Nothobranchius furzeri: one gene and its partners. The protein of the gene in region 4 interacts with the protein of the main gene of each other region in a pairwise test. Links are inferred from orthologs where the notes say so. Each region holds a gene or a part of one and is shown on either strand. Other genes may lie near its edges.

The links.
Region 1: the proteins of nup62l (region 4) and hsf2 interact in binary tests that used the Homo sapiens proteins (3 or more experiments, as listed by UniProt). The link is inferred for Nothobranchius furzeri from reciprocal best matches to the Homo sapiens genes NUP62 and HSF2.
Region 2: the proteins of nup62l (region 4) and xpo6 interact in binary tests that used the Homo sapiens proteins (3 or more experiments, as listed by UniProt). The link is inferred for Nothobranchius furzeri from reciprocal best matches to the Homo sapiens genes NUP62 and XPO6.
Region 3: the proteins of nup62l (region 4) and filensin interact in binary tests that used the Homo sapiens proteins (3 or more experiments, as listed by UniProt). The two-hybrid records come from large-scale screens. The link is inferred for Nothobranchius furzeri from reciprocal best matches to the Homo sapiens genes NUP62 and BFSP1.

Annotation. Positions count from the first base shown.
Region 1 is NC_091742.1:27,399,220-27,406,408, forward strand, and holds part of hsf2 (heat shock factor protein 2), read left to right. Parts: intron 1-884; coding exon 885-963; intron 964-1,773; coding exon 1,774-1,916; intron 1,917-1,989; coding exon 1,990-2,256; intron 2,257-3,622; coding exon 3,623-3,725; intron 3,726-5,558; coding exon 5,559-5,622; intron 5,623-7,189. UniProt on the Homo sapiens protein: DNA-binding protein that specifically binds heat shock promoter elements (HSE) and activates transcription. In higher eukaryotes, HSF is unable to bind to the HSE unless the cells are heat shocked.
Region 2 is NC_091752.1:51,430,922-51,438,604, reverse strand, and holds the start of xpo6 (exportin-6), read left to right. Parts: upstream 1-2,876; 5' UTR 2,877-3,297; intron 3,298-3,432; 5' UTR 3,433-3,639; coding exon 3,640-3,642; intron 3,643-4,357; coding exon 4,358-4,448; intron 4,449-6,898; coding exon 6,899-7,011; intron 7,012-7,683. Other genes in the region: antkmt (adenine nucleotide translocase lysine N-methyltransferase), read left to right, coding at 1-135, 626-676, 912-1,145. UniProt on the Homo sapiens protein: Mediates the nuclear export of actin and profilin-actin complexes in somatic cells.
Region 3 is NC_091752.1:33,913,714-33,921,618, reverse strand, and holds the start of filensin, read left to right. Parts: upstream 1-3,847; 5' UTR 3,848-4,011; coding exon 4,012-4,385; intron 4,386-5,144; coding exon 5,145-5,205; intron 5,206-5,463; coding exon 5,464-5,559; intron 5,560-7,288; coding exon 7,289-7,381; intron 7,382-7,905. UniProt on the Homo sapiens protein: Required for the correct formation of lens intermediate filaments as part of a complex composed of BFSP1, BFSP2 and CRYAA. Involved in altering the calcium regulation of MIP water permeability.
Region 4 is NC_091754.1:20,875,013-20,882,420, forward strand, and holds nup62l (nucleoporin 62 like), read right to left. Parts: upstream 4,190-7,408; 5' UTR 3,999-4,189; coding exon 2,556-3,998; intron 2,476-2,555; coding exon 2,317-2,475; 3' UTR 2,138-2,316; downstream 1-2,137. Other genes in the region: pdk1 (pyruvate dehydrogenase (acetyl-transferring) kinase isozyme 1, mitochondrial), read left to right, coding at 4,988-5,096. UniProt on the Homo sapiens protein: Essential component of the nuclear pore complex. The N-terminal is probably involved in nucleocytoplasmic transport.

The DNA of each region.
Region 1 (7,189 bases), on a different chromosome or scaffold from region 4:
CAACACCACAGGAGCTTAGGTCCAAAACCCATAACCTCTGTCTGCTCTGAGTTTTGAAATGAAGAAGAAGAAAGGATTTTTTTTAAATATAGCGCCTCTTAAAATATAAATCACGAGGCACGTCACAAGAACCAATAAAAACATTTTAAAAATGATTAAAAGGGGTCATAGCAAAAAAAAAAAAGGGGGGGGGGGGGTAGAAATAAAAGAATGAGAATAAAGTAAACACGGGAGCCCGAAAAATACTGAAATTTCAGAAACAGATTGAAAAGATGCTAGTGAGGAAGACGAGGGCGAACAGGAGTTTTGGAGTCGTCCAGGTCTTTGTGTTTGAAGAGTGCTCGTAAAATACTTAAACTGATGGGATTCATCAGGCGTTATGGATAGATAAAGGGTATCCTTCCTCAGCATAACAATGGCATCCTTTGACCCAGTGGAAGCACATGTAAAGTAAAGAGTATCGGACCAAGCATTCATCCCTGAGGAACTCCATGACAAAATCTGCTGAAAGAGATTCATTATGAACAAGAACTAACTAGATCAGATAAATTAGACTTGAACCAGTCTAGTGCTGTTACCTTAATCCGGGTTTCATCCTCAAGCCTCTGGAATAGGAATCAAAACGGTGTGCTTAGTGTAACAGCTTATAGCCAAGTCTTATTCTAGTTTTAACTGAAGCTGTAGTTGATGTCATTAGATTGAATCCCAGACAACGTGGCACACTTAAAGGGATTTAGTTGATGTACTTGTGAAGTAGTGCATCTTTTCAGTAAAACAGCCATTTGGATTTATGCTGTAAAAACATGTTTAGTGAGGGTGAAACGTGTTAGACCAGTAAACCATGATATATTTCTGCTTCCAGCTCATGCTTTCCTTTTTTACAGGTCAATTCTTATGAACAGCAATGGGCAGAAACCCAAATACATTCATCAGATTTATGAGGATAAAGCACGTGTGGACCAGGTCAGTCTGTTATAGCATTATAGCAGTCAACATTCAAGCAAGTTTAGGAGAATTTACAATTTTACAACAAAAACTGGGGGTGGGGCAGGGTGTGGTTGGCCACAAAATGTACATTTCTTTTGGTGGAAGTGTCCATATTGTTTATGGGTGTGATGACCTGCTGAGAACCAGATAAAATCACCAGTTTTTTAAAAGTTTTTTTTTGTGGGGAAAACGTCCAGGCCTATCAGGCCCTGCCCACACGTAGACGGGGATCTGCCAAAACATAGATATTTTTCTACGTTTTGGCCTGTCATCCACACGAAAACGGAGTTTTTTCACACGAAAACGGATCTTTTTAAAAACTCCGGCCAAAGTGAAGATCTGCGTTTTCTCCGTTTTGGGTGTCTGCGTGTGGACGGACAAAACCGGAGTTTTAAGGGCCGCAACGTCACTTTCCGCCACAAAAATATGCTGACATCACGTGTGCGACCTGTGTTTACACTAGCCGACAGCATGGACGCCCTCAGAGCTGCGCTCGCTTTATCAATCGTCCAAGCGCTTTTTGCTTGTTTGTTTTTGCAAGAGGAATTACTGCTCCTTGTGGAAGACCACAGACGAAGGACGAGGTCAAGAACGGGGGAAGTACTGCCGCCTACAGGTCTGGCATGTCCTTAACAACGTATTTATCCGGGTACGTGTGGACAGAGCTTTTGGAGGGGCGGATATTCGTTTTAAAAAAACCCGGCTACGTGTGGACTAGGCCTAAGTCTTACCATGTTGGTAAATCCTTCACCAAATACCTACTAACCCCCACCGTTTGCTGTTTAGATGCCGGTCAGCGATGCTGGTCCGCGTCTGAACAGTGTGAAGGGTGGGGACATCGTAGATGATGTCATCATCTGTGACCTGACTGAGAATGATGCTGACGATGGCGCGGACATCACAGAGGCAACTCCAGCCTGTGAACACGGGTGAGACTACCAACCTCCAGGTTGTTGTTGCCGTGCCTAATCAGAGAGCCTGATTTGAGTTGTTCTTCCTTAGTGATCTAGAAATTGTGGAAGTAGAACTGGATGGCTGTGGGGGGCTGCCAGCTGAGACGGAGGCCAACCCCACCTGTACAGGTGACCTCAGACAGGCTGAAGCTAAAGAATCAGCAGCAGAGAACCAGACGAACGGCGGCGGAGCGACCAGCAACGCTCTGCTGCTCAATAAGCCCTCTGGTCTGAGCCTAGAAGATCCGCTAAAGATGATGGACTCCATACTCAACGAGAGCGGAACAATTTCACAAAACATCAGCCTTCTGGGAAAGTGAGTCCTGCTCCTAATGTCGTCAACAGAGTCTGGTCTGGGCAGCAGATACATGAGGGAAGATATGTCTGTGTGCAAATTCTACAAATAAAGGATGCTAAAGTTTGTTCTGACAAAAAAAATACTCAAGTAAGACATGTTGGGTTGTAAGTAAGTAAGTAAAAGTTTATTTATAGAGCGCCTTTCACAGATATAAATCACAAAGCGCTGTACAACATGATAAAGATCAGGGCAAATACCTCTAACCAATAAAAACATCAGAAAAACAATAGCAGTGATAAAGTAGAAAATAAAATCATGAGTATAAACAAAGTGAAGGTGTGAACCCGAACAAAGCCATCTTTTTGAACATTTAGGGAGGGAACGCCTGGATGAAAAGGTGAGTTTTTAGATGATTTTTAAAGACCTCTACAGTGTTGGAGAGATGGAGATTTGAAGGTAGACTGTTCCAAAGTCTGGGTGCAATAGTCTGAAAGGCCCTGTCCCCTTTGGTTTTCAGTCTGGTTCGAGGAACAGCCAGGAGGTTTTCAGATGTGGATCTAAGGTTCCGAGAGGTGATGTGTGGGGATAAAAGCTCAGATAGGTAGCTTGGAGCCTGGTTGTTAAGAGCTCTATAGGTCAGCACTAAAACTTTAAACTGTATTCTATATTCTACCGGGAGCCAGTGCAGGGACTGTAAACCTGGAGTGATGTGAGCTCGTCTGCTGGATTTGGTTAGGAGTCTGGCTGCTGCATTTTGGATGGCTTGAAGGCGTGAGAGGGAGGTTTTGCTGAGACCAGTAAAAAGAGCGTTACAGTAGTCTAAGCGTGATGATACAAAGGCATGGATGGTTTTTTCCAGATCTGCAGTAGAAACCAGTTTACGGACTTTTGAAATGTTTCTCAGTTGAAAGAAACAGGAGCAGGAGATGGTTTTGATGTGTGAGTCTAAACTTAAAGCAGGATCAAAAATAACTCCCAGGTTTCTAATGTTGGCCTTGGCTGATGGGCAAAAAGAGGCAATTTCCTGCTCGATTTTTGGCTGAAGTTCCGGGGGTGCAGCGATCAGGGCCTCTGTCTTGTTGGCGCTGAGAACAAGAAAGTTGCTGGACAGCCAGTTACTGATCTGGGTTGTGTGTGAAGTTCAGTCAGTATTAAGGTGCAGGAAAAGATGAGGGCTTGTTACATGCAGTTACGATGAGCAGTAGTCGCTGGGCAACAGTTAAAAACTAAAACTTGGGCTCTGGCTTCAAACGGGTCACTTTGGGTTCGGGGTCTGAGGTTGTGGAGAAGTCTACCACTGATGTACCAAAGGCACACTGATCCGAGTTCAGCCAAAGGCCCCTCTGGTTTCCCTTTAGATGACGCTGTCTGTGTCTCCTGACAGGGTGGAGCTCATGGACTATCTGGACAGTATCGACTGCAGTCTGGAGGACTTCCAGGCCATGCTCTATGAAAAGCAGTTTGGGGTAGATTTTGACGCTCTGGAGGTAAAACCAACAAACACACACAGCTATTCTCACAAAGGTCGGGGGAGGTCACAGCAGGTAGTGTGTTGGCAGCCATCAGAGCAGACCGCTTTAACAAAACCAAATGAAAGAACTCTGGCCAGGGTATCCTCGGGTCCTTAAAAAGTCTTAAAAAGTCTTAAATTAGCTTTCCCAAATTTAAGGCCTTAAAATCCTTAAAAATGACAAATAATCCTTAAATCCAGTTTCCAAAGGTCTTAAATTACCAAAGACTCAATAAACTAGATTCTTTTATTTTTGTCAAATTTTCGTGAATTTCTAGTTAGTGTTCAGCATTTTCTGTGTACGATGTTGGCGTAAGCGGAACCGTACACGTTCAGCTGGTTGTGAAAGGGGGCTGTTTTTAGATGAGCACATTAGCTGGTTAAGCTAGTGGGAGCTTGCGCCATGGGGAAGTGCAGGTTTAATGGTAACAGGATGCTAATCCCACGTTCGCGACATGGTTAGCACCGGTTCCAGGCAATAGCTGGAAATTATAGCTTAAATTTAATTTTAAAAATAGCTTAAATTTGGTCAAAGTGGCCTTAAAAAAGGTCTTAAAAAGTCTTAAATTTGGCTCCCTTAAACCTGCAGAAACCCTGTCTGGCTTCATTTGCTCTCTCCAGGGTAAACTAAAGATACAAGTGAAGCTTGTTGAAGCTCGCTGCATGCCTTTTTGTCACCAGCTGGACTAGGATTGGGCAATATGGCTAAAATCTGTATCGCAATTTAATTTGAAGCACATGGGGTAACGATATAAATCACGATTCATTCTTCTGTTTACTTGTGCCAAAACGACCAGATAAATTTCAGCAGAACAATACTTCTTAAAAGTACAGGATGCCGTTTAAATAACATTGAATGTGTAAAACAGGCTTAAAAAATACAGAATCTTTTCATTTATTTTGATGTTGTCCTATGATTCATTTTCTAAGCAATTCAACACAAAAATTCAGAAAATGAATAAAGCTGAAGGTATTTGAAATAAAACACAAACTTAATGTGATGAAATGACAGAATTCTAAATAGTTTGAACTGAAGTAAACAAATAAACAGATATCACATTTCCTTCTTGATTCCTGATTGGTTTTTGATGTTTTTCTTTGGCTCATAGAAGCTGCATGAAGTGTTGCTTCAGTAGTGAAAAGGGATGTAAAATTAATACAACAGGCAAACTACTGGTCAGAGCTGAGGTGGCCTCATGGAGGGGGCCATCGTCTAGCACACTGCTGCTAACCACTAATACATTCTCTCTCCTGATAATAACTTTTTGTTTTCATTGACGTTGGATGTGCTACTACTAGTTTATCCGTTTAATTATAGATCCACTAGAATAAATACAATAAAGTTTATCTTTCACCAAATACAATATTTACTAAGACATCACAATATAACTATAGACACATTACTTGTGTGTGTGTGTGTGTGTGTGTCTGCTCTGTCTTCTCCATCCCCAGTGAGTCGTGGAGGATGGCTGCTTATACTGAGCCAGGATTCTCTGGAGGTTTCTTCCTGTTAAAAGGGAGTTTTCCTCTCCACTGTCGCTGCATGCTTGCTTAGTATGAGGATTGCTGTATAGTCACTGACACTAGTCGGTGACTTTATGCAATTTGCTGGGTTCCTTATATAGGAAACATTATTTCTGATTGGCTTAATGAACTGTGAATTGGAATGTTTATTATGTGAAGTGCCTTGAGACGACTCTTGTCGTGATTTGGCGCTATATATATATAAATAAAAAAAAAGTAGTCCAACTGATGGTTCCTGTATCTGCACTGCAATTTGAGTCCTTACAGTTGTCTGCGGTATTTTCAGGAGAACGTGTCGACCAAAGAGAACACTACCCAGACGAACAGAGGCAGAGCACAAGATCACACGGGTAGGTCATCCCCAGTGTGCATGTGTGGCTCTTGGATTTTAACAAAACACAAAGAGAATTAGACAAGTTTGTCCGTCAAACAGCGCGGGGCTTTATTTTACAATGTTGTACTTGCACGTTAGGCTAGTGTCACGGTACATAGTGATAGGGCAGCCAGGTGCAGCTTTGAATGTGAAAGAAAACCACACATATTTCAGCTACCTTATCTCTAGGTGTGTGTTCAAGTCAGCTAACAAGTTGCCATTGTAATTGTTTTTGAGTTTGGCATTTGATGTAATCATGTTGTCAAGGCGAGGTGTTTTTTCTTCTCTCGTTAAATTTTGTTGGTTTGTTTGTATTGTTAGTTTAAGTTCATGCCACTGATAGTCTTTCTATCTTATATTGTTTAGTGTTTCAAAGGAGGACCCCCTTGAAAATGAGATGATGTATCTCAAGAGGTTTCATCCTCTAGAAATATAACATAAATAACTTAGGCAGGTTCTGTAGTTGATGAGATAAAAGTGTTTTTTATTAATTAATTTCTACTTTTATTTTTCAAGCCTGCATCAGTTTTGCTCACAGATACCAAATACTGATGTCTAAGCATAACCTCGACTGTTTGCCAAACCCTCAACCCTTACACAGAACCCTGACAGTTAGGCATTACCTTGACCGGTAAACTTGAACGTATAAGCAGAACCTTGTCCGTTACCCAGTACCTCAACTGTTAGGTAGAACCTCAACTGTTACGCAAAACCCTGACCGTTAGGCATAACCTCGAGTGTTAGGCAGACCCTCGACCGAGCCAAGGAGTCCAATCATCTCTGATCTGGATCTCTTGATCCATTCAGACTTTTCTCCACTAGCCTCCTCTTTTCCGCCTTGCTCCTGTCTGCGATCCTCTTCAGTAGTGTCCCTGCTACCATCTCCTATGATCGCCAGACTCTTTTGTCCTTCCGTTCGTTCACGATCGCCCAACATGCACCGAGGATGTACAATCCTGTTTGTTTACCTGAGTGGCACACTGGCCCGGAACCAAACGATGATTCCAATCATGGCGTTTCCAGCGATGTTTATCCGGTCCCGGGAAAACGTTGGAGGAAAAGAGGTAAACGAGCAGGAATCCAGGTGAGAATAAGACCTCTTAAAGTGCGGTTTATCTGGTAAACATCGGCGTGATCTTCTAGCTTCTTGTCCTTTGTTTGGTGACCTGAGCGCCACTTCCGCATTCCCGCCAGGCCGCGTTGCGGCGCGTTTCATCCGTCCAAGTTTTTTAAGGTCGGTTTATCCTCATTCCTCAGTGGCTTCTCCTCCTGTTCCCTCCATAAGTGGTTTTTATAAACACCGTGGATCTAACCCTGCTAATTTACGTCCACTAACTCCAGCTGTTTCTGTAGTTTCTGATTCCTCCACCTCACTCAGCATGGCTCTATTAAACACCTGCTCTGTTAATGGTAAGTTCTTCCTGCTTAATGATCTAATTCTCTCTAAAAACCTGGATTTTCTGTTTCTGACTGAAGTTTGGCAGCAAACATCTGATTATTCTGGTCTGATTGAACTCTGCCCGAGTGGTTATTCTTTTCTTAGC
Region 2 (7,683 bases), on a different chromosome or scaffold from region 4:
GAAGCTTATCGCCATGGTTTTAGTCCAGCAGTTGGTTATGAGCTAAACCCCTGGCTGGTGCGCCTTGCCCGTTTTCACGCCTGGAGAGCAGGTCATCACGGAAAAGTGTCATATAGACGAGAAGATCTCTGGAAGGTCTGACTTTTACTTTCCTGCTGTAGATTCAGTATCACAACCATCCAGTTGTTTATTTCATCTACTAGTTCTATTTCATTTTAAGTGTGCTTTCCCAAATAAAGGTTATAAATGATCATACCCAGAATTTTTCTCTGCAAACTAAACTGCTAATAAGCTTGGCAACATTTTGAAGTTAACTGATCTCTTGTTTTTGTCAGTCTTTCTGTATATCTGCTGTGTTTACATGACACCGCAGCTCAAAGGACGACCATAACTATAGAATAAATCAGTTTCTTACAAAGCTAACAGTTTTAAGCTCTTTAACTGGTTGGCTTATGTTTTTACTATTATTTATGTGACGTAAGTAAGGATTTAAATTTGTGTTGACTCACTTCAAAAAGATTTCCTGAATATTTTAAATTGGATCATTTTATGTGATAATGGTATAACTATAGCAGGAACCAAAATATGTGTTTTTGTTCATATTTCGCTTCGTATCTCCTCACAGGTTGACTTGACAAAATGCAAGAACATCACAGTGTTTTTGGCTCCCAGTGTGGTAGGTAATGTGAAGAATATTTCATAAAGTTATGTCTTTGTTTTTAAATTGATAAACCTCAAGGCAGCTTGAATTGGTGTATAGTAAATCATTAATTTAAGTTAATATTTTCTATCAAAATAAACACAGATTTAATCTAAATTCTTAGGTTAAAATAACAATTTAGTGTTACATTTATAAGCTTGATTTTTTTTTATTACATAATCAGTAATGTTATTTCCTTGTTTTTTGATAGCTTCCATTATTGCAGGACAAGCTGAAGGCTGAGCTTTCTGACGACGCCCTAGTGGTGGCCGGACGTTTTCCCCTTCCAGACTGGAGTCCCTGCCGGGTCGAGGGTCGAGGTGTGGACAGAGCCTGGGCTTATAACATACAAGAACAAAGAACGCACACTCGTCAGAGAGATAATAGCGTCGTGGCAACAGGGAGCGATGCTGACAATAAAGTAATCCCCGAAAACATATCTTGAAATCCCTTGGAGAATGTTAAAAAGGTGAAATTTTCTTCATTGAAATATTGAAGATTTTAAATTATTTTCAGTACTTTTTTATTTTATCAATAGCAAAAACTAAGTACACTGACCTCTAGTAATGCATGAAAATCATCTAGCTGTTGCCAGATCCCTACAGATGCAGAAAGGCAACAATAAAATATCTTACAGTATCATTAGGTAGTTACAAAAATAAAATAAAGTTCTAAAGGTTCATCGTACTGATGCATGGAGCATTTAGAGACGAGCTTCAACTGTTGATCACATGTCACTATAGAATAAGTAGATGTACAGAGGAGTTCTTCTCCTTTTTTATTAAAGCAGTATGGACTTTTTACCCCAGGAGTTCGACATTTAGGCTCATTTTGTCCAAATGAAATAAGGTCTTATACCACTATGTATAAGGGTATACACCAGGCTGCATGGTGGTGCAGTGGTTAGCACTGTTGCCTCGCAGCATGAAGGTTGCAGGTTCGAAACTTGGCTCAGCTGCGGCCTTTCTGCGTGGAGTTGCGTGTTCTCCCCATGCATGCGTGGGTTTCCTCCGGGTACTCCGGTTTCCCCCACAGATCACAACATGCCCTATAGGTTATAAATTGTAAGTCGCTTTGGATAAAAGTGTGCTAAATGAATAAACATAAACTATGTCATGTTTTTCTCTTGTCTGTCTGAGGTTGTATTTGTCTAGGAATCCAGTTAATACCTTCTTTTATTTTGGCCTAACATGTTAAGCCTTAGAAATGAGAGACTGACATTTTAAATGTCAAACACTCAGTATAAGCCCAGTTCACACACACAACACAATGCTAATGTTGTTAATGTGGAAAAAACCATTTGCTGTTGTATTTATCTAAACACCACACTTTGGCATCAGGCTAAAAACCAAAGGTGTGTGTGAGTATGTGTATATATAAACATATACATATATATATATATATATATAATTTCTTAGGATGACATGCACTTATTCGAAATCTGTAAATTATACTCTACGGTACGGTTATTGCCATTGTTTATTTACAGGCAATAAATTGTCATACATGATGTGAACCTTGATTTAATATATCAGCCTAATTATATTAGCTTGGAATGTATTTTATTTACCTTCTAAGCTGCTGTTGGTTTGTTTTTATACTCTATGTTTATATATTTCACAGCTTTTTAAAAAAGCAAGTAACACCACTTACATTTTCACCAGAGTGTTGGCATCAAATGAGTATTTTTATTTTGAACACATGACATCATTCACACAGACAAAAAGCAAACAATTTCTTTGCATTTTTAAAGGGGAGTGGGGTGCATTTTTAATAATTATAAGGTAATGCTCATGTAAAAAATATATAATAATTATAAATAATATTGTTTATCCGTGTATTACAACTTCTCACATTTTTATATATTTGTAGTCTAAAGGTTTTTGTTTTCCAGATATTTTAGTGTATGATTTAGATATGCACTAAAATGCGATCCCAGAAGATTACTTATGTCTTTTAAAATTTAGGATTTAATCGATGATTTCATAAAAATTTGAGTATCTGGTGTTAACCTGATTGTGTGAGAGAGATAACCATCGGAGATAACCGATATTTATATGTCGATGGAAATAACCTGTAAAAGTAGCGGCGCAGCGTGACAGAGCTCCCCGGAGATCAAGTCCCTCCTACGTCACTGACTTCTCACGCGCTGATTGGGCCGCTTGTGTCAAAAGAGGAAGTTGCGAAGCAGACCCTAAACCTACAGCTAGCTGTTGACTTGAGCCGCCCAAATCGTTCAGAAGGGAAAGGGGAAATAACAGCACCAGCCTTATATACAATTATGTCGTTTTAGTGTTGAAAGGTTGAAATCGTAAATGTGCCTAATAATTTGTTGAGGAATCATAAAACGCAAAGACGGTTTGAGCAGCAACCACAGAAGCATGACTACGGCTGACATTTAAGCTAACGAAAATAATTGTCTTCATCCTAGAAAAGCTAACAACTTAGCCATCCGCTACAGCGTTAGCAACCTGGTCATTTTGCGTCGAAATGGCAGACATTGGACGGTAATTAATGCTTCACGCTGTGTCGGAGCTAGAAGAGTGGAAACTAGCTCAATTGTCGACAAAAATCAAGAGAACATTGCCGACTTAACGGTAAATGTTGGCGAGAAATGACAATGCAGCTAACACATTTTGTGATAAGTGGTTCAACGGTCAACCTACTCGTGTGGTAAATGTATTTTCTTTTGGCAAGGCAAAAACATCTGTCTTATATGTGTTGTTTTAAAGCAAAGTCAAGGACGCCGGCCCTTTCTGGTGAAATGTGTTTGGATTTAAGCAGCCGTGCAGATCATGAAGCCAGTCTGCGATTACCAGCAACACCTTAGCTAACGTTAGCATTGCCTGTACTAGAGAGAGAGATAACTAATGTCGGCCTACAAAGGTTATTAATCAGCGACTAAGTGGACTGAAGAAAGCTTTCTGAGCCAACTGAACATGGTGAGTCAAATTTAGCATGTCATATTTGATCAGTCATTGTTTTGCTGTCATATTTCCCAGCAGCTGATCATTTGTTGCTCGTCTTGGGAAGTGAAAGAGCAGATAAAGTGCGTAAATTTAGTGCTACTGCCTTGTGATTGAATTTGTGATTGATCAGCCAGCTAACGGTTTGAGGTTTGAACCATTTCATGCTTCATGAAGACGCCCTTCTTACAAAATCGGATGTTTGCTATTGTTGAGCCTCGGCAAGTTGTGGCTTATTTGAGGAATTTAAGCCTGTCTACTTGCCTGCCACAGGGACTATGGTCTTTGAAGGGTCGGTTTGGTCAAGGTTTATGACGTCCTTCCTTAACAGAAGCCAGATCGCATATTTATATTGCAGATCTGCTTGTGTGGGATACAGAGTCTGCGAAAATCCCCACACAGATCTGTAATAGTTCCAGAGAAAGGGGCATGATAAAGTTTGCAGGTACAGACATGTGGAGGGGCCCACTGCGACTGATGGTATCTACCCCTCCGGACTTTATTTCTGTTGCATGTAATGAATTTGTTGGAAATGAGCAAAAATGCCTAATACATATTTAAATTTGAGGATAGGTTTTGTTGTAGCTGTTTCCTGATTTTGCAGTGGATGCGAGAAATTCAGTGGTTCGTGCTTTGAGTGTTACAGAACAATTAGCTTAACTTTGCCCTTTATTCTTTTATCATTGCTTAGGCTTCAGAGGAGGCATCCCTGCGTGCATTGGAGAACCTAATGACAGAGTTCTTTCATAACTGCACGACTAATGAGCGGAAAAGAGAAATAGGTGAGTGTGACGTAAAGAGGGAAAACAGCACATAGTTCGGGTGCTTGGGTCTTGTCATTACTGTAAAATGTTTTAGACCTCGCACAACATTCACAATTCTTTATAAATTCAAGTTAAACTTTCATTATTATTTGGGGTTATGGTTGTTTGAACTCAAAGGAGAGTGTAGTCATTAAATAGCTTGGCTTTAGAAAGTACAAATGTTACGATTAAAATACAATTTCTGCCATTTTAGAGTTTTTTCAGTGTAAAAGTTGTATATATACTTTTTTTTTTTTTTTTTTTTTTTGCTGTCATCATCATTACCCGCTTTTGTTTGAAGAAACAGGGTTCAAGTGTGATGGGACTGATATGCTAAGCTAGTCTGAATCAACCCACAATAATGGCTCCAATCTCTTAGATTTGCTGTTCTTGCAAGCGTTATTTAAAACACCTTGACATTGACATCATTTTTGCCTTACTCTGTTTTAAAGAATTCCTGGATTTTGACCGTTGATGCACCAAAAAGGCCACATTTAACTGATGCTGGTATATTCATGCAAAAAAAAAAACATCATGGAGCTAAGCATGCTATGCAAAACTGACCTCAGTTTAACATTCATAACATTCATACGAACTGCAATGAAGTAATCCGTTTTAAGATTTTGATCCAGGCTGCTGTCCGACTAGCCGTTAGCGTGTTGGACCTTTAAAACATAAACACTTTGTTTGTGCAACATCTAATTTTAAATAGATGCAAATATCACTTTAAACTCACATAAATAAATTATTTGAGAAGCCTAAATATTGCAAAATAATTTGAACAGAAATCTGTTTAGCAAAAAGCAATGTTGCTCATTTTTATCCATCACAGCATCACTTACACCTACACAAGGTTTAGTTGCATCATGTTTATGTTGTCATTTCTTTAAATTAACTCAGGGAATCTTTTATGGAGAAAAAATATTTCATGCCAAATAGAGCTTATCTGTGACTAGGGCTGTAGCGAAGCCTCGACGAAGTCGACGGCTCGATTCTAAAAATTTGTCGACGTCAGATCCGGAAGTCGACGCACCGCGCCCACTTGTTGCATCCCCAGGAGTTTGTAAATAGAGGAGGAATCTGCCTGTTTTTCCTCTAGTTCGCCCTCTTCTCCGCCTTCACTAACATCTCCGCCAAACACCGAAGACCCGGAACAATGTCCGTCCACTACTAGATTATTTTCCTGTTTTGCCCGCCTTCGTCTCCCAGCAACGGACAACAACTTCCGGGGTCAGATGCGCTGCTTCGTCTCTACCGCAGATGTAGAACATCACCGGGAGCATTTCTCCCTTCATTAAGGAGCTTCTTTCAGACATTAGGAGAGCTGTTTTGGTGGTAGCAGTCTCTCCTCCGTGCTGGTCTGTTTGCTGCTGGGTGTTTTTGGTTTATTTAAACTTGGTAACTTGAACTTAATGTTGGTAAAGCTACTGTTAGCATCTTCGCTAACAGCTTCTTGCGTTGGGATAAGCTGTTACGTTTTGGTTTAGAGTTCATCTTTTTTGTGGTGCAGATCTCCCTTTTATTACATTTAGAGTGTTGTGGGTTTTCGGTTTAGTGTAAAATATCACCTGAGTTTGGTTTAACCCGTAAGACCACTCGCCTCACGCACATAAGTGACCAAAACAAAGCAGCATGGAGACACTCCATTTTCTACCACCTCTCAGGCAGCAGCCTGCACTCCCAAGTTCTACATGTCACCAGAACATAACCAACCAACACAATAAACGCAGTGTTATACAAAATGGAAGGCCTGTAGTGTTTATTCTCTTACAGTAACAATTTATCAATTTTTTTGAGGAATTTATTTGAGATTTTCTGGTTTTTGTTAATTGTGCAATAGAAAAATAATCATTAGATTAATTTTCTAAATAGTCATTAGAATAGTCGACTATTCGATAAAATAATCGTCAGAATAATCGTTTTAAAAATAATCGTTTACCCCCAGCCCTATCTGTGACGTAGGATCATGTGATCATCTGCTTCAATTTTAAATCTTAACCACTCAAATCGTTAATGCGAGTCGATCCGTCCTCCTCCTCATTTCCTTTCAGTGACGTTAAATTAAGCCAATATGAATTTAAGAAACTTCTAAAATAAAGATGGTGGATTTCTACCTATTCTTATGTTAATCTAGTAATAGAAGTATTATTCAATGTTTTTATGTTTGAAAATGTCTCCAGTTAAGTCATTTTAAAGGCTTATCTGTCTTTAATTCTGAACTCCAGATAAAATTAACCGTTACAGAAATATCCAGTGGATCTCTGGACAAGATATTTGTATACATGTATATAAGATGTGTGTAGTCTAGTTTTTTTGCATAGGTTTTCTGCATTTCCTGTGTTTCTGTATCTAACTTTCAGTTTGCCTCTCAGTGAAGTAGTAAAGTGTGTACTTCTGAAAGGTCTCCTACTTCCTTTTTTTCTCTGCAGAAGAGCTGCTGAATAACTTTGCACAGCAGACCGGAGCATGGCACCACTGCATGTTCTTCCTCTCCCATACTCGGAATGAGTATGTCATGATGTTCAGTCTCACGGTGTTTGAAGTAAGTCATGTAGACAAGAGAATTTCAAAGTACTTTCTAGGTTCCTGTTGCTTTTGATGCTTAGACAAACGAGTCGGTTCTCATAGAGAAGACTTGTTTTAGTGAGACAGAAAACAGCACAAGGTGTTATGCAAATAATATGTGCTCCTCATGTCCTTTTCCTACATTTATAGTTTCATTTCTGTAGAAAATAATGCTACGTATAACATTTTTGTAAAGAAGCAGACAAGTCCTTTTTACAAGCAAAACACCTAATATTGATTTGATTTGTATTTATTATTTCAGGCTTGGACTGGGCAATATCTTGAGTTAAATTTTTTATTTATTTATTTTTTCAAACAAGACACAAGATGACCCAGTAAAGCTGGTCGATTCATTGAATTTTTGTCTCAGTAATGATCTACACTCACCTAAAGGATTATTAGGAACACCTGTTCAACTTCTCCTTAATGCAATTGCCTAGTCAACCAATCACATGGCAGTTGCTTCAATGCATTTAGGGGTGTGGTCCTGGTCAAGACAATCTCCTGAACTCCAAACTGAATGTCAGAATGGGAACAAAAAAGGGGATTTAAGCTATTTTTAGCGTGGCTTGGTTGTTGGTGCCAGACAATCTGCTCAGTTACTGGGATTTCCACACAACCATTTCTACGGTTTACAATTAATGGTGTG
Region 3 (7,905 bases), on a different chromosome or scaffold from region 4:
CTTTTCTTCTGTGAAGCAAGGAATAGATAAGAGCAGCTCGGTGGAGACTCCCTGAGGACGGAACATGATGTTGACAATCTAAGTATTAATCTGTTGATTGTTTTAACTTTCTGGTTAGGAAACGAATCGCCACACAGCTGCTTCTGCCTATTCTGGACTATGCTGACATTATCTATCAGAACACTTCATCCTCCTGTTTGCACTCTATTGATGTTGCTTATAATAGCCTCTGTCGTTTTGTTCTTCGTTGTCCATTTAGGACACATAGAAGTGTGATGTATCGGCAGTTGTCCTGGTTCGCACCTGCTGTCAGGAGACAGTTTCACTGGTTTCAGTTCATTTTTAAAACCTTTTACTTTAATTATCCGGATTATCTTAAAATACATTTAATTCCCTATAATTCACTTTACAGCCTGCGGCATAATGACCAGATCTTTTTTGTTGCTCCTGGAGTGAAAAGAGAGGTAGGGAAACATGCTTTTGGTTTCAAAGCTCCATGTGATTGGAATAATCTTCCTTTATCTATTTGTTGTTTATCATTATTCACAACTTTTCGAAGGGCTCTGGTCGATCATCTTCAGGAATAATTGTCTATGTTACTAATTGTATTTGTTCAACTGGCTGTTGCTTTTGTTTTGTCCTTGCTAGTTGGGGTCATGTCGTGTGCATGGGATGAAGTATTGTGAGCCTTTGAGGGTGTGTGTGTGTGTGTGTGTGTGTGTGTGTGTGTGTGTGTGTGTGTGTGTGTGTGTGTGTGTGTGTCTTTAAATGATTGTTGTAATGTTTGGATTTCGATTTTTGCTCTGCTGTCTTGCTCTTAATTTTTGTTCTTCTTTTTGTTGTAAAGGATGACCCACTCGAAAACGAGATGTTTCATCTCAAGTGGTTTTTCCTCCATATAAAATTATGTTTAAATAAATAAATAAATAACACGCACTGTAGAACATTTCTTGCAGCTCGGAAGATTGGAAGACGCAAAGAGGCCGATTAATGTCTGAAGATGACCTCTCTCTGAAAAGGCCAAATTATGGATGAAAGCTGACCATTTCTGGATGCTACACATACTTATCACAGAACTTCAGGACATGTTTGACAGTTTCTGCAACTCCACAGCAACTGAAGTTGGCACTTACCCATTATGAGCATAGTGTCATTAAACCCTGATTGACCTATCCAGAGCCTCGTCAAAATGATTTTTACCCATCTGCTCCCTCCTCCAAATTGCCTGACCCGGAAAGATTTCTGAAATCATATGGAATGCTCTCCCCCTCCAATCCAACAGGAGAAATTGAACTGAACACAGGCTCTCAGACCTGAAGTCATCATGGAAGTGGCAAAAATTACAGTTCCACGCTCATCCACTAGGGGCTGGCACCAGAAGTGAGCAAATCCTCAATGACTCCCATGTTAAAAATGCCAATTTTACAGCAGAAATAAACATGTTTACAGCCTGGTTCAAAAAAGCATTTTAGGTTTAATAGATCTAGTTTACATTTCTCACAACTCTGAGGGGGTGAATTTTTTTGTAACTCTTCTTTTTAAGTGGAATTAAATGCTTGAAATGCTGAATAATTAATGAGCTTAAGAGCCACATGACTTCAGAGCTAGGAACAGATGTTAGAGCAGGCAGCAGGCTGTTCCCGTTTACCGGAGCAGCTGGGCCAGGCGGACCGGCTCCGATGTGAGGCTGTAGTCATGCTGGTCACATGTGGATCTCTGAGAGAGACCACAGAAACACAGCAGGTCTTTTAGTTGATGCTGCTCCACTTTTGAGTCGCTCAACTGCAATTTTTTCACTAATAGTTTGTGGATAAATGGGTGTGGCAAGGTGGAGAAACAGGGGTCCGGGTGGGGTTCGATCCCCAGACTCCCAGGTGAGAGCCATGCGCATTAACCAGACAGCCAAAGGGACTTCCCCGTGGTCAAGTGGCCAGGGTGCATGATCAATCGGGATACGGTGACAGGACACTCACACTGTCACATGGGGAAAAATCTATGCATTTACCATAACACTGCTTGGTCTAAGATGGGTTGAAATATAACGTGTTGGTGTGGCTGCTGAGTAATGAAACTACTCAAACTAGGTAAGCTGACCGAGGATATTGGGCTTCGCTGGTTCACTGCGGTCAAAGATCCACGAGTTTGAACACCGGAGGGCAGCAGTGCATGCGTGCGCCCTAGAAGCAAATTCCACTAAGAAGAAGTGAATAGGTACACCGTTGCTGCACTCGGTTAATTTGAATAACAATGAAATCGAAAGACGCGTCAAATTTGACAGTTTGTCATCATGTCCAACTCTCGGCAGCCACATATGATGAGATCCATGTCCACTATTAGCTCTACACCAGCCTCCCAGTGGTGTCTCTGAATCCCTCAAATTGCTGATTTGTCATATAGCTCTTGATCTGGTCCCAATGTGTCAGCTCTAAAGTTTTTTTTTCAAGGCGCTCTTTAATGATCCTTCTACTCAAGTATCCTCTCCTGAAACAAAACACTCCATTATATATGTGAAGAACAGAAAAGGAGATCTAGTTCAGGGTTCTTTAAACCTTCAAAATTCAGTGTTACTTCAAAATCTGCCACACCAAAGTGAACTGGGCTCAAGCAAGTGTTAAAAATACACAAATGTCACTGTAAAATTAGACAGAAAGAAGAATTTCTCATATTAGTGAATCTTTTCCCCCCAGCTGATGGCAGATGTGTTTTTTAAAACGCCTCCACTCCATTTAGCTTTGCACAAGTTTAGGTTGTTCATGTGGAAGACAAAAACAGAACAGCAGGGGGTTTAAACTAAAAATGGCTTTTTTATTTTCCCCTTTGGGGATTGTCTGTTGCATTTATTGGTGCTTTTCTCTGCAGAGTTTGGGTAAAGGTGTGTAGATCTGACCTCCTGAGACCCTGTGTCCACATATGAGGACATTGGCTTCTTCTTATTTTTAAAATTTAGAAACATTTGACAGTGATTTTAAGTTAAAAATATATTTCGTTTCAGTTTTTTTCTTTAATTTATTTTACAATTTTACATCCCACCAAGTACAAATTCGGGTCTCAGGAGGTTAAGAGTGTGACATCACAATGAAACAATTTAATTTGCCTCGAGGAACAATACTGACCCCCCCCCCCCCCCCCCCAATACCTTTTATCATTCATGAAAACCTGGAAAATATTGCAATCTTTTAATTTATCTGCTGTTTGGTTCGTTTTCTCGCTGTAATTTCCTTATTACATGACCAACCGTGACCTGTGGGCTGCTCTTGTTTTATTCCGGATGTAAAATCACGGATGTAAAGCCATTTGAGGTGCGTTTTATTCAGCTGTTTCCCAGACAGCTACATAGATTCCTTTTGAGAGACACTTTGGATGACCTTGTTTTGTAGACTGGAGAACGAGCCAGGAGAAGAGCTCTTTTGTCTCTTTTTTCCATCACTCTGTCTGTAAAAGGTCACAATGTAGAAAAAGAAAGAGAAAAAGGAAAGAACAAATGGATATATGAAGATCAGTGAGAAAAATGTGAAAAATTGAAACTTTTTTAAAAATTTAACTGCAGTGCATCTGCTTCAAGCCCATTGTCTCAGCAAAATAAAATAATTGCTGTGATGGTACAAACTGCAAGGCATGAAATTTCTCCTCTGAGCAGCAGTGGGGCAGCATTCCAACTCGCTGTATCAAAGCAGCTGACTAAGAACCAAAATAATGGTCGGTGTCAACCCAGTTCTTTCGCAGGATGGCCAGTTGTTTGTTTTTTTGCTTCTGCATTGTCATCAACCGAATCGCCTTTCAAATCTCCACAACAAAGGCAACAATAAACCCTGGAAGGTCCTGGACTGGTGACACAGGCCATGGGAGCCAGCAGAAGCCATATGGGCTCACACTGGTTACCAGGCATTGCTTTGCAGCGTTTAGTCTAGCATGAGACAGCCAAGGGTGAGCACCCAAGTTTTCTTTCATTAACGGTGCTGAAAGGGACCAAGAACTCCTGGGAGACCATCAGCCCAGAGAAAGTGTACCACCATGTATAAGAGCAGCTACCGGCGCGAGGTGCGCAAGGAAAAGTATGAGCGCTCCGACGTCTTTGATGTTGACACCAGGGACCCTGAATCCTCTGCCGGCATCTCAGCCATCCAGGGCTGGGAGAGCCTGCAGGAGCTCAACAGTCGCTTTGCCCGATACATCAACCGGGCCAGAGTCCTGGAGCAGCGGAACGCCGTGTTTCGTAAACAGCTGGAGACACTGCAACGGATGGAAGAGGCCAGTGGCCTGGAGGAAACCTTTACAGAGCAGATTGGTATCAACAGGCAACGCATCAGGGAGCTGTGCTCTGACCGAGCCAAACTCGAGCGAGAGCTGAAGGAATCCTGCCGGATGCTGGATGAGTTTACCAACAAGTAAGGAGGAGGGTAGCTTTTATCTCAAAGTCAAAGGCCAAAGTTTCATCCCGAAGATGGAGCGTGCTTCAATGTCCTTCAATGTAATTAGAGCTAACAAGTCAGTGATGGCTTAGAAATCTAAGAAAGTAAAAATAATAGATCACAACCTTTGTCTGAGTCCTGAGCAGTTTTCTCTGTTGCAGCAGCAAAGGGATACAGTAAAATCTCTGGAGGAAAAACGAAGTAACATGAAGGTAGTGTTCAATGAGATTTAGCTGTGCAAACAGAAGAAAATGTGAAACATACAGTTGTGAGGAAATTAGAAAGAGTAGAAGTCCAGTAACTGATTATAAACAGTAGGAAATACTGAGATGTGAGCTGCATATAACACAAGTATTGCTTTTATAAAAACAGAAATAAATTGTTTTTACTGCATTTTTATTTTATAATGTTGCACAAGGACCAAAAACCTGTGGAAGTCCTCATTCAGGAAAAAACGAAATTCCATAAGAGAAATTTAGTTTCAATGATAGATATTTCAAAACAGCTGGACATTTATTCACTGATGTGTAAACTGGGTGCGTGCAGTGCATCGTTTCTCAAACAAAATCGTTAAAAATCAAAATATTCAGAAAATTATTCAGTTTTCTAGTTTGTTTTGTTTCTGTTGTTTTTACTTGCTGGAAAGAAAATGTTTGTCTCTTTAATTTTGGTCCATTTTCATGCCTTTTGTGTCAACCTTCACTGAACTAAGCATCATGATGTTTTGTTTATCAGATATAAAAATGAGTGTGATCAACAAGAGCAGCTGCGGAGCACTCTGGAAAATTTAAATAAGGTACTTTATGACATCGTTTTAGTGATTTTGCCATTGTTTGACACAAAGAATGTTTATTTTCACCAATAGTGGAAAAATGTATATATATATATATATATATATATATATATATATATATATATATATATATATATATATATATATATATATATATATATATATATATGTATATATATATATATATGTGTGTTTTTTTATTATTCTAACAGTTTTTCTGCACAATTGTTTGAATGTGCCATTCTTTATTTTCCGCTGCAGGAGGCTGACACTGCTCTGCTAAGAAATCTGGAGTATCAGATCCAGTCTCAGTTTCTGCAAGATGACATCAATTCCACCAGAGACAGACACAAGAAGGTCAGCAAAAGTAAAATAAACTTTGAAATGAATGAATATGTACGAAATAAAGTTTTAGTCATCTTCTTGATTATATTTAGTTTGTAACCACAAGAGGATCTTGATCAGCTCCACTTTTCAACAATAGATAATTTTGGTAAATTTCTAAATTTCTTTGGAAAATTTGCTACATTACACCGATTCAAACCAGGTTTAATTAGAGTATCAAAAGTAATCATCAAGTAAAATATCTCTTTTAAACAAAAATAATAATCATTTACATTGTGACAGAACCATGACGTGGAAAGTATTTCTGCAGAAAATGGACTTAATGTCCCAGAATCTGCACAGCTACAGATAAGATTGCATTTGGTCCCCATTCTAAGCTCTCTGTGCCACCCATGTGCAGCAGCAGGAGGACAGGGAGGCAGCTGGGAGAGAGACCAGTAATCCACAAAATCTATTCACAAACTGGGAATGACTCAAAAAGACATATGGTTGGGATCAGATTTTGTTTTTGTAATTTTGAAATCTCAGCAGCTTTAAATATCGATGTGTCTGCAGTCAGATATGTTCCTCAGGCAGGTAACCAAGCTGTTACAATGCAGTCATTTCTATTTATGCTCATGCCTGGTTGCAGCAAAATAAAAACGCCAAAACTCAGGAAACTTAAAGCAACACAGGATGTGTTTTTATCATTTCTTTAGCTACTGGGATTACCCGTTAGCTTGTTTGTTAAATAATTTAGTAGTATTGCTTTATTTCACAAGAACTGAAAAGTGATGCAGAGTTCACATTAAAAAAAACACAACATGAAAAATAAAAACCAGAGAATGCATTTTACGCTTTGATAACGTGAAAATAACAAGAGTATTACTCAAAGGTTTAAAGAGAGTGCCAGGAAATGTGCTGTGATCAACCCGCGGCTTTAGCAACTTCATTTGTGTGTCATCACATGACTGAAAAGACAGAAACTAACAGATGTCCTTTTGTGTAGCAGAAACCACTGGAACACAATGGCAGGAAAAAATACCTGAAATTTCTGTGCATCAGTTGGACTTTCAATAGATTTCCTGTGCCCATGCAGTTTGTCTCACTTTAAGTTTCATTCAGCACTGCTTTTGATGATGAACTAATCCCGTGACTGCTGTGTTTAGGCACCTTGACAAAGGACATGAAGGCTTTACAGTGAACATTTGGATTTGCTGAACTCTGAAGTTTCTCTTTGGAGAAACAATGTTTAGATGATGTTTATCAGAGTCATACACCATACTGGTGTAAATGGATTTGAAAAGAAAACCTTCCAGCTCAGTGGCTCAGTGGTATGTGTCCGCCCTGGGGCTGGGAGATGGGTTCAAATTGAGGTTGGGTCAAACCAAAGACCTTAAAAATAGGTCCCAATGTCTTCCTGCTTGACACTCAGCTTTAAGGGGTTGGATTGGGGAGTTAAACCACCAAATAGTTCCCGAGCACAGCCACTGCTGCAGCTCACCACTCCCCACGGGGATAGGACCAATGTCACCAGTGTGCGATGACCAACGGGATATATTGGACCATGTCTTTGGGCAAACAAAAGGACTTTACTGAATCCATGTTAACTATGAATGTTAACAATGAACACAGTAGTCGATTTCCAATTTCCTTTCTGCTTAGACTGATTCAGACAGTTTATTCTAGAAAACAACTAAGTTTGCTGTGTTGTATATTTCCCTTCCACATTTAAAATGTCTTCTGTTCTTTTGTTGTCCAGAACCTTGCAGAGATCCAAACTTATGTAAACATTTTGCAGCAAATAAACCAGACACTCCCTCTTGGTCCTAATGTGTCAGTTGGCATCTCTGAGGTAAAGTCACTAATGTTGTCACTCGTGTGTGTGTGTGTGTGTGTGTGTGTGTGTGTGTGTGTGTGTGTGTGTGTGTGTGTGAGTGTGTGTGTGTGCGTGCGTGCGTGCGTGCGTGCGTGCGTGCGTGCGTGCGTGTGTGTGTGTGTGTGTGTGTGTGTGTGTGTGTGTGTGTGTGTGTGTGTGTGTGTGTGCGCGTGCTACTCCCCCTGAGGGAGGAGATGGTGTTTGCATGCATGTCAGCCTTGCTTTGTGTTGTGGCTGATGAGGTTACCGGCTTCTCTGTCCAACTGATGGTCTGAACATGTAACTGTTTTTGTGCACATTTGTGAGTGGATGCTCAGTGAGGACAGAGAGTCAGTGACTCATCAAGGCTTGCGCAGGTGAGCAATTTAAAAGTGTCAGGGCACATAATGAAGCAAATGCCACGAAGAACGACTGCGCATGCTAATTTTGTTGTCAGTCCGCCTAGGTGGCTGGTGTCAGAGTAGAAGATTGGAGATTTGTTTGTTTAAATATTTCTCAGC
Region 4 (7,408 bases):
TCTTCTGTCATGTGCACCGTGTACACTACCGTCAGGTTTGTGGGTGTTGAACAACCCCTCTGTGATTGCAGCTCTTATTGTGTGTAAAATACATTTGAAGCATGCTGACTCTGGACCAAAATTTCTGTTGTTTATATTTAATAAATAGATAAAATAAGACTGAATTAACTAATTATGACTTTTATCCTCATGCTAACATTTATTTTCTTTCCGATATCAGCAAGTGTAAGGGTGGCCCACCTACTCAGCATCATTTGAGGACATTTCCAGTGACATTAATAGGAGACAGAAGACGCAGCTTTCAGCCAAGCTGGTATGAAAGTCATCCTTGGGTTAAATATTCTGTTGCTATGGACTCTACTTATTGTCATGCATGCAGACATTTTAGCTCACCAAGTAGTGCAGGAAGTGTGTTTGACTCACCGTGTGGATTTACGGAAAAAAGCAACTGAGGGGGGTGGGTGGGGGGGTTCAGTACATGCAAAGTACTTTTGTTACAGCTTTATATAATGCTGTTCTGTGTGTGTGTGTGTGTGTGTGTGTGTGTGTGTGTGTGTGTGTGTGTGTGTGTGTGTGTGTGTGTGTGTGTGTGTGTGTGTGTGTGTGTGTGTGTGTGTGTGTGTGTGTGTGTGTGTGTGTGTGTGTGTGTGTGTTTGACTACAAAAAGCACTGCACTAAGAAATTGTATTGTGCACATATTTAATTTGTTTGAATGTTTGTTTTTCATATGTACAGTACATGTAATCTTCAAATAAAGTCACAAACTATAACAATCAACTAGAATTATTTTTTTACTCAAGTCTCATGTTGCGGTGAAGCATTCAGAATTGTTATCTGAGTACCATAAAGACATGCCAGTTTTACTTTCACAAGTAAACCATTACTGCATTCGCTGTAATAGATTACTTGTTCATTGCCTTTTATTATGAATTTATTTGAATCTTATTTTAATAAAATACAGCTGTAAAAGATCATAGATGAAAACAGTAAAGGAAAATTTTTGATAAATTTGATCCCCAAAATATAGTAAAGATAGAAATTAAAAAGAAGAGAACAAAAAAGTGAGTAGTTTCACAGTACTAGGAATTTCCTTTGGTAAAATTGTGCACAAGCACAAAATTAGTCATATGGCAGAGACAAAAAAGAATTTTGATATTGCCCTAATTTTTCCCTTTTTTTTCTTGCGCCCCCATGAAAAAATACTGGCCCCACTGTGGCCCCCCTGGAAAACTTGGTCTAGAACCGCCCCTGATATTGTATGACGAAAGACAATTTTTAATTCCATTGAAACAGTTTAGTGATGAAGTCTTTGTACAGAAACTGTCTGATTTTAATGCATTTCAAACTCTTCAGATGCTTTTGTTTGTTCTGATGCTAAAAAATAAAAAAAGCATAACAAGTGTAAATTCCCTGCAAGACTTAACATTTTTTATTGTTTACAGAGCACGGATAACTGTTTTCATGTTTCCCCATTCGTGGATTCTGCAGACATTACCAGCCTATGATGGAACAATCAATCTCGATGCTTTGGGTGGGAAGCAGCGGATGACAATGAAGCTCTTATTTTTAGCAGATTCTGCAAATTAGGACAAACTGTAGTCCATTTTTATATTTGTGACATGGCTGTTTAATTTCCTGGGAATTTTTTACTGTAGAAATGGTGAATTGTATTTTTTAACATTGTATTAGAATGAAAATCTCAAAGTGTTTTGCAACATACCTGTGAGGTTGGCCAACATGTTCTACTACCTTATCTGGAGCTGTTAAGAAAACCAATGCTTCTGCTTGTCAGTGCGCCCCAGGGCAGCTGTGGCTACATCGTAGCTCATCACCATCAGTGTGTGAATGGATGAATGATACACTGTAGTGTAAAGTGCTTTGGAGTCCTTACTCTGAGAGGTGCTATACAAGTGCGGGTCATTTATCATTTCTTGCACCCGCCTCCTTGTGTTTTTACATCTAATCTAGGGCTCAGGTAGAATTAAGCAGCTTGTAGATCATTACTGAGACAAATTACAGTTAAAGCTCTAAAATGATTAAGTAATTTAGATTATTTCAACTCAAAAAGTCTGGTAGATCTTTCATGTTTCAGATTAGATGTGAGAATTAGAGTCATGACACACCACATCAGGCTGAATGAGATCCACTGCAATTGTTTTATTTAATCACACTACCCAGAACATTTAATATGATCAATTAACTTTATAAAGAACTATTGAGAAAATATTTATCTTAATAAAACCAAAACAGAAAGTGAAATGAGTAAATCCAAACAAAAGAGCATAATGTTTATGCAGAGTTAAACTCATCAACAGATCAGTCAAAGGTTAAACGAAAGCTCTTCTCCTGCTCCTTGCGTTGGGTGTCGCAGAGTTTAGACACTTCTTCCACTCTTCTCTGCAGGAGAACCGAGTTCTGGTCGATCCACTGCAGCGAATCCATGTGGGCGTTGAGAATTTTACAAATCTGCTGGAGCTAAAACAGAGAGAAAGAGATGAATGAAAAAGGCAAACATCATAATGACAGGTTTAAGGATGACTTAGATCTGATCTTACTGGGTCACTGGAGTCAGCTGGGCCGCTGGATGTGTTCAGGTGCTCAATTATCTCCTTCAGGTCCTGAGACATCCTCTTCAGCTGTGCGTCTACGTTCTCAGCGAGCTTGTATGTTCTCTCACGCTCCTCATCGGCATTCTGCATGTAGATGGTTCCGCTCTGCTCCTTCACGGACTCCTCCAGCGGACACAGCAGGTCCTCCAGCTCCTTCTGCTGGGACAGGATGAAGTCCAGCTCCTGGTTCAGCCTCCTCTGGTCCAGCTTCACCTTCTCCAGCTCCTTGTGCAGGGATGTGATCTTCTCTCCGTTCTCCACCAGCATGCGGTCCCAGGCATTCACCTGAGTCGCTTGCTGTAAGAAATGTCTTTCTTGGTCCTCCAGCTCAAGACTCCACTTGTTTATGAGGCTCTCCAGCTGGGCATAGGTCATCACAGGAGGAGCAGTGGTGGTGGTGGTGCCGATTGTTGTGGCTGTTGTGGTTGTGCTTGTGGTGGATGTAGTTTTGAGTCCCAGTATGAAGCCCGTAGCTGTGCCTGTGGTGGCGGCTGCAGTTAGGATGGAGGCCGGAGCAGAGGTGGTGGTTGCTGAACTCAGAGGTTTGAGTGGGAAGGATAAGCCCCCTCCAGCTGCTGTGGTGGTTGCAGTGCTCACCGATGAAAGTGGAGCCGAAATTGGAGCTGCACCAAACATGAATCCTGGAGCTGCTGCTGTAGTGGCGGCGGTGGTGGTTATGGGTGTCGCAAACAGAGTAGGGCCTGGAGTCGGAGCCACCTGGGTGGTTGCTGTAGGGGCTGGGGTTGATGAAGGTTTAATCCCAAAGTTAAAACCTCCACCCTGGGTGGTTGGAGCTGCAGAGGCGGTGGTTGCAGGGGTTCCAAAGCTGAATCCCGCTCCTGTGGCAGCAGTGGGGGCTGCAGCTGAGGTCACCTGGACTTTGGGAGCACCAAAACTGAACCCTCCAATGGACATGCCACTTGCTGCTGTCGTGGCTGTGGGTGCTACCACTGACTGAGGCTGGACTTGTGTGGGAGCACCGAAGGTGAATCCTCCCCCGCTTGGTGCCACTGTTGCTACTGCTGGTGCAGCAGCTGGGGGCTGCGAGGTTAGCAGGCTGCCTAAGGTGAACCCTGACCCGGCAGCCGGAGTTGCTGCAGAGCCCAGACTCAACCCTGTTGCTGCCGGTGTTGTCTGAGGGGTAGCAAGAGCAAACGAGGCAGTAGGCGTGCTAAAAGACAACCCCGTGCCGCCTGCGGAACTCTTGGCTGGGGTGCCAAAGCTGAAAGAGGCGGTGGGGTTGGTCTGGTTGGCATTTCCAAAGGCGAACCCCCCTCCCGGAGCTGCTGAGCTGGTTAATGTAAAACCCGCGTTGGGGGCAGCGGCAGTGGTCTTCTGCGCTCCAAAGGCGAACCCTGCATTCTGTCCGAAGTTGAATCCGCCACTCATTATCCTCACAAGAAGTTAAACACAGCCGTTACGTGTCGTTTAAAACGGCCACTTCCTTGCCGAATCTTGTGGCTTTTGGCGGGTCGCTATGACCAACTCCTCCGACTGAAGTTCCTAAAATCCCCACTGCGTCTATTTAAGTAACTTTGCACAGATACGCAGGAAATGAATGAAATCACACGCTAATCAACGTTACCTTCCGAGGAATATAGAGCCAAAATCAATAACACATTGCTAAAAACGTGGGCCTGTGAACCGACATTTCCTTTAACAGGCAATTATCTGGCCACCTAAAGGAAGTGACGACACCCGAGACGCGGCATTCTCGTATGCCCTGAATTTTGTCTGCAGGGACATAATTCCGCCTATTAATTTATTTGGCAACTGTTTTATCCAATCAGAGTTATGATTAGATTTGAGGTACATGATAGGCTCATTTGACTGCCTGATAGACAAACATTCGGAAAAATATATAGTTTGGCCTTTACAAAGAGTATGCAAAGGCAAGATAGTTACAGAATAACGAGCACTATCAACTCTTCTTCTTTCATACACACGTGAATAAAAGACATTATTTAGGACATTATCGTGCATTTATACGTCTTTATTTTCGCAATTTACCGTCAATATTGACAATAATTTTAAATACAGCCTTTCAACAGAACTTCGTGTCGGTATACGCCAGGCAACAACGATGAATCCTCTTGAACTTTGTAGTAACTCTTTGAATTAGCTTGTTGACTTTTCTGCTTCGGTGGATTTAGCAGCGATCACTTGAAGTACACACCGGACGATACACAAACATTGCAGCGCGGCCGTAGTTATGGATGCTGAACCTGCATCAATTAGCAACGTAACTGAACAATAATAAATTTAACAGCGTGTTTGCGAGCTGCTGGGTTTGCTCAACGAGCTAGTGTCGTTAAATAACACTAAGTGTGGCTCGGAAGCCACCTGCTTCCTCCGAATAACTAGTAAACCCGGTCAACATGAGGCTTCTGAGGTTTCTGAGGAACAGCGTGTCAGTAGGGAAGGATATCGATTATTACTCCAGATTTTCTCCTTCCCCTCTTTCAATGAAGCAGTTTCTGGATTTTGGTGAGATGTATTCATATAACACTCTAGGGATGTAAAAATAATTCAATGCACTGAAATATCACAACATTTCGGTTTATGATACAGAATCGATATTTAAAAGCAGAGTATCTATTATTGAGAATTTACATGCCAACATTTCTTGTATTTCTTTTGTGTGGTGCAGATCAAACACTGACAGCTAGGTGGCAGCAGTTTCTTCCTCCTTCAGTCTGACAGACCGATATCTTGCGAAAACACTGGAATTGTCTGAGTTTTCCCAGTTAAATTCACTTAAAAATTGCAAAAATAGTCAGCCTTTTAGTATCTCAATATATCGTATCGTCTCTCCTGTATAGCAACATATTATATTGCTAGATACTTGCCAATTAACACCCAGTTTTATCTCAAACTCTTCGGTGTTTCTTGATGTCTTGGTCCTGCCCCGGTTGCCTAGGAGATACGTAATCAGGTACCGCCAAGGCGTGTTCCAATCATCATGTGCTACCGAGGTGTCTGTTCTTCGTTTGTTAGCTGTTTAGCTAGCTAAGCAAGAATACACGGGAGGTGCCTTCTTTACTGGTGGTTCCCAGAATATCTAAAATTAGGATAGGAGGCAGATCTTTTAGTTATCAGGCTCCTCTCCTGTGGAACCAGCTCCCAGCTTTAGTCCGTGAGGCAGACACCTTGTCTACTTTTAAGACTAGGCTTAAAACATTTTTATTTGATAGGGCCTATGGTTAAAATCTGATGTTAGCCTACATCTGGACAAGTGGGGGAGTAGAGGTAGGTGGAGTGTACAGTCGGTAAAGACGGCTCTCCCTTGCCCTGCCTCCAACATGCCTCCATCTAAAAAGGCTAGGTTATCCTGAGTTATCTCTGTAGTTATGCTGCTATAGGCTTAGACTGGTGGAGGATACACTGACCACTTTTCACACTCTACTACTTTCTTCTACAATCTGCTCTTTAACTGTATTATTTTCTGCAATTTCAGCTATTAACTTTAATTTTTCTCTAAGTGTTTTTCTCCCCAGAAGAAGCTACAATGATGTTCTGCTGAGCTGTGGTGGCCTCATGGATGGGGCCATCGTCTAGCACACTGCTGCTAACCACTAAAACATTCTCCCTCTCCTGATAATAACTTTTTGCTTTCCTTGACGTTGGATGTGCTACTGCTAGTTTACCCATTTAATTATAGATTCACTAGGATAAGTACAATAACGTTTATCTTTCACCAAATAGAATATTTACTAAGAAATCACAATGCAACCATGCTTGGTGTGTGTGTGTGTGTGTGTGTGTGTGTGTTCTGTCTTCTTGATCCCCAGTGAGTCGTGGTGGATGGCTGCTTATACTGAGCCAGGATCCTCTGGAGGTTTCTTCCTGTTAAAAGGGAGTTTTCCTCTCCACTGTCACTATATGCTTGCTTAGTATGAGGATTGCTAACTTGATGCAATTTGCTGGTTTCCTTATATAGGAAACATTTTTTCTGATTGGATGAACTGACCTGGATTGGAATGTTTATTATGTGAAGTGCCTTGAGATTTGGCGCTATATAAATAAAATTGAATAGCCTAGCCTTGGTCAAAAAATTCCCAGAATGCAGCGTGTTATTTTCAAAAGGATGGCGGCTCAGTAGCCAGCATCTACTTTGGGGGCAAATTTCCAGTATACATGTCACGTGAAGTAAGTGTTCCATTTGACTGTTTTCTTTGATCTAGGACGCCTGGCCTCGTAAGACATCGCCATGCGAGGCCCGGCACATTGACATTGAGAAACATCCCTTATTCTATCAGAATAAAGGCAGTATAAACTTCTGCCTTCCACCTAGCAGTCAGTTTGAATTGCACCACACTAAAATATATATTAAATGTTTGCATACAGCTTTTACATGTCAATTAAGGGTCATGACACAAAATATCGCGATATTTCACATTATCGATACTTTCTTACATTCCTACTCGGTTAACATCATTAGCATGGTACCTTTTGTTGGAAAACTTCATAATTAGGACATCAATAGACCCTAACCCAGGATGATCAGATCTCTGGTGTAATTAGATATGTGTTGTCATAGGGCTGGGTGATAAATAAAAATGTATCTTATTGAAATTTCTGACTAACCAATATGAATTTTATTTTTCCATGGCAATAAATTCGATAATCAAAAAAGATGTTTGGCGAGGTTCATGTCCCTTTAAGAAGCTGGACCACATGACAACGTGACTCAAGAAATGAATGTGACAGCCCCATCTAGTGGACAACTTTTGTTTCTGCACATTCATGTAGTTATTGTCCATTCATTGTTATAAAGAATAATTCCTCAATGTATTGTA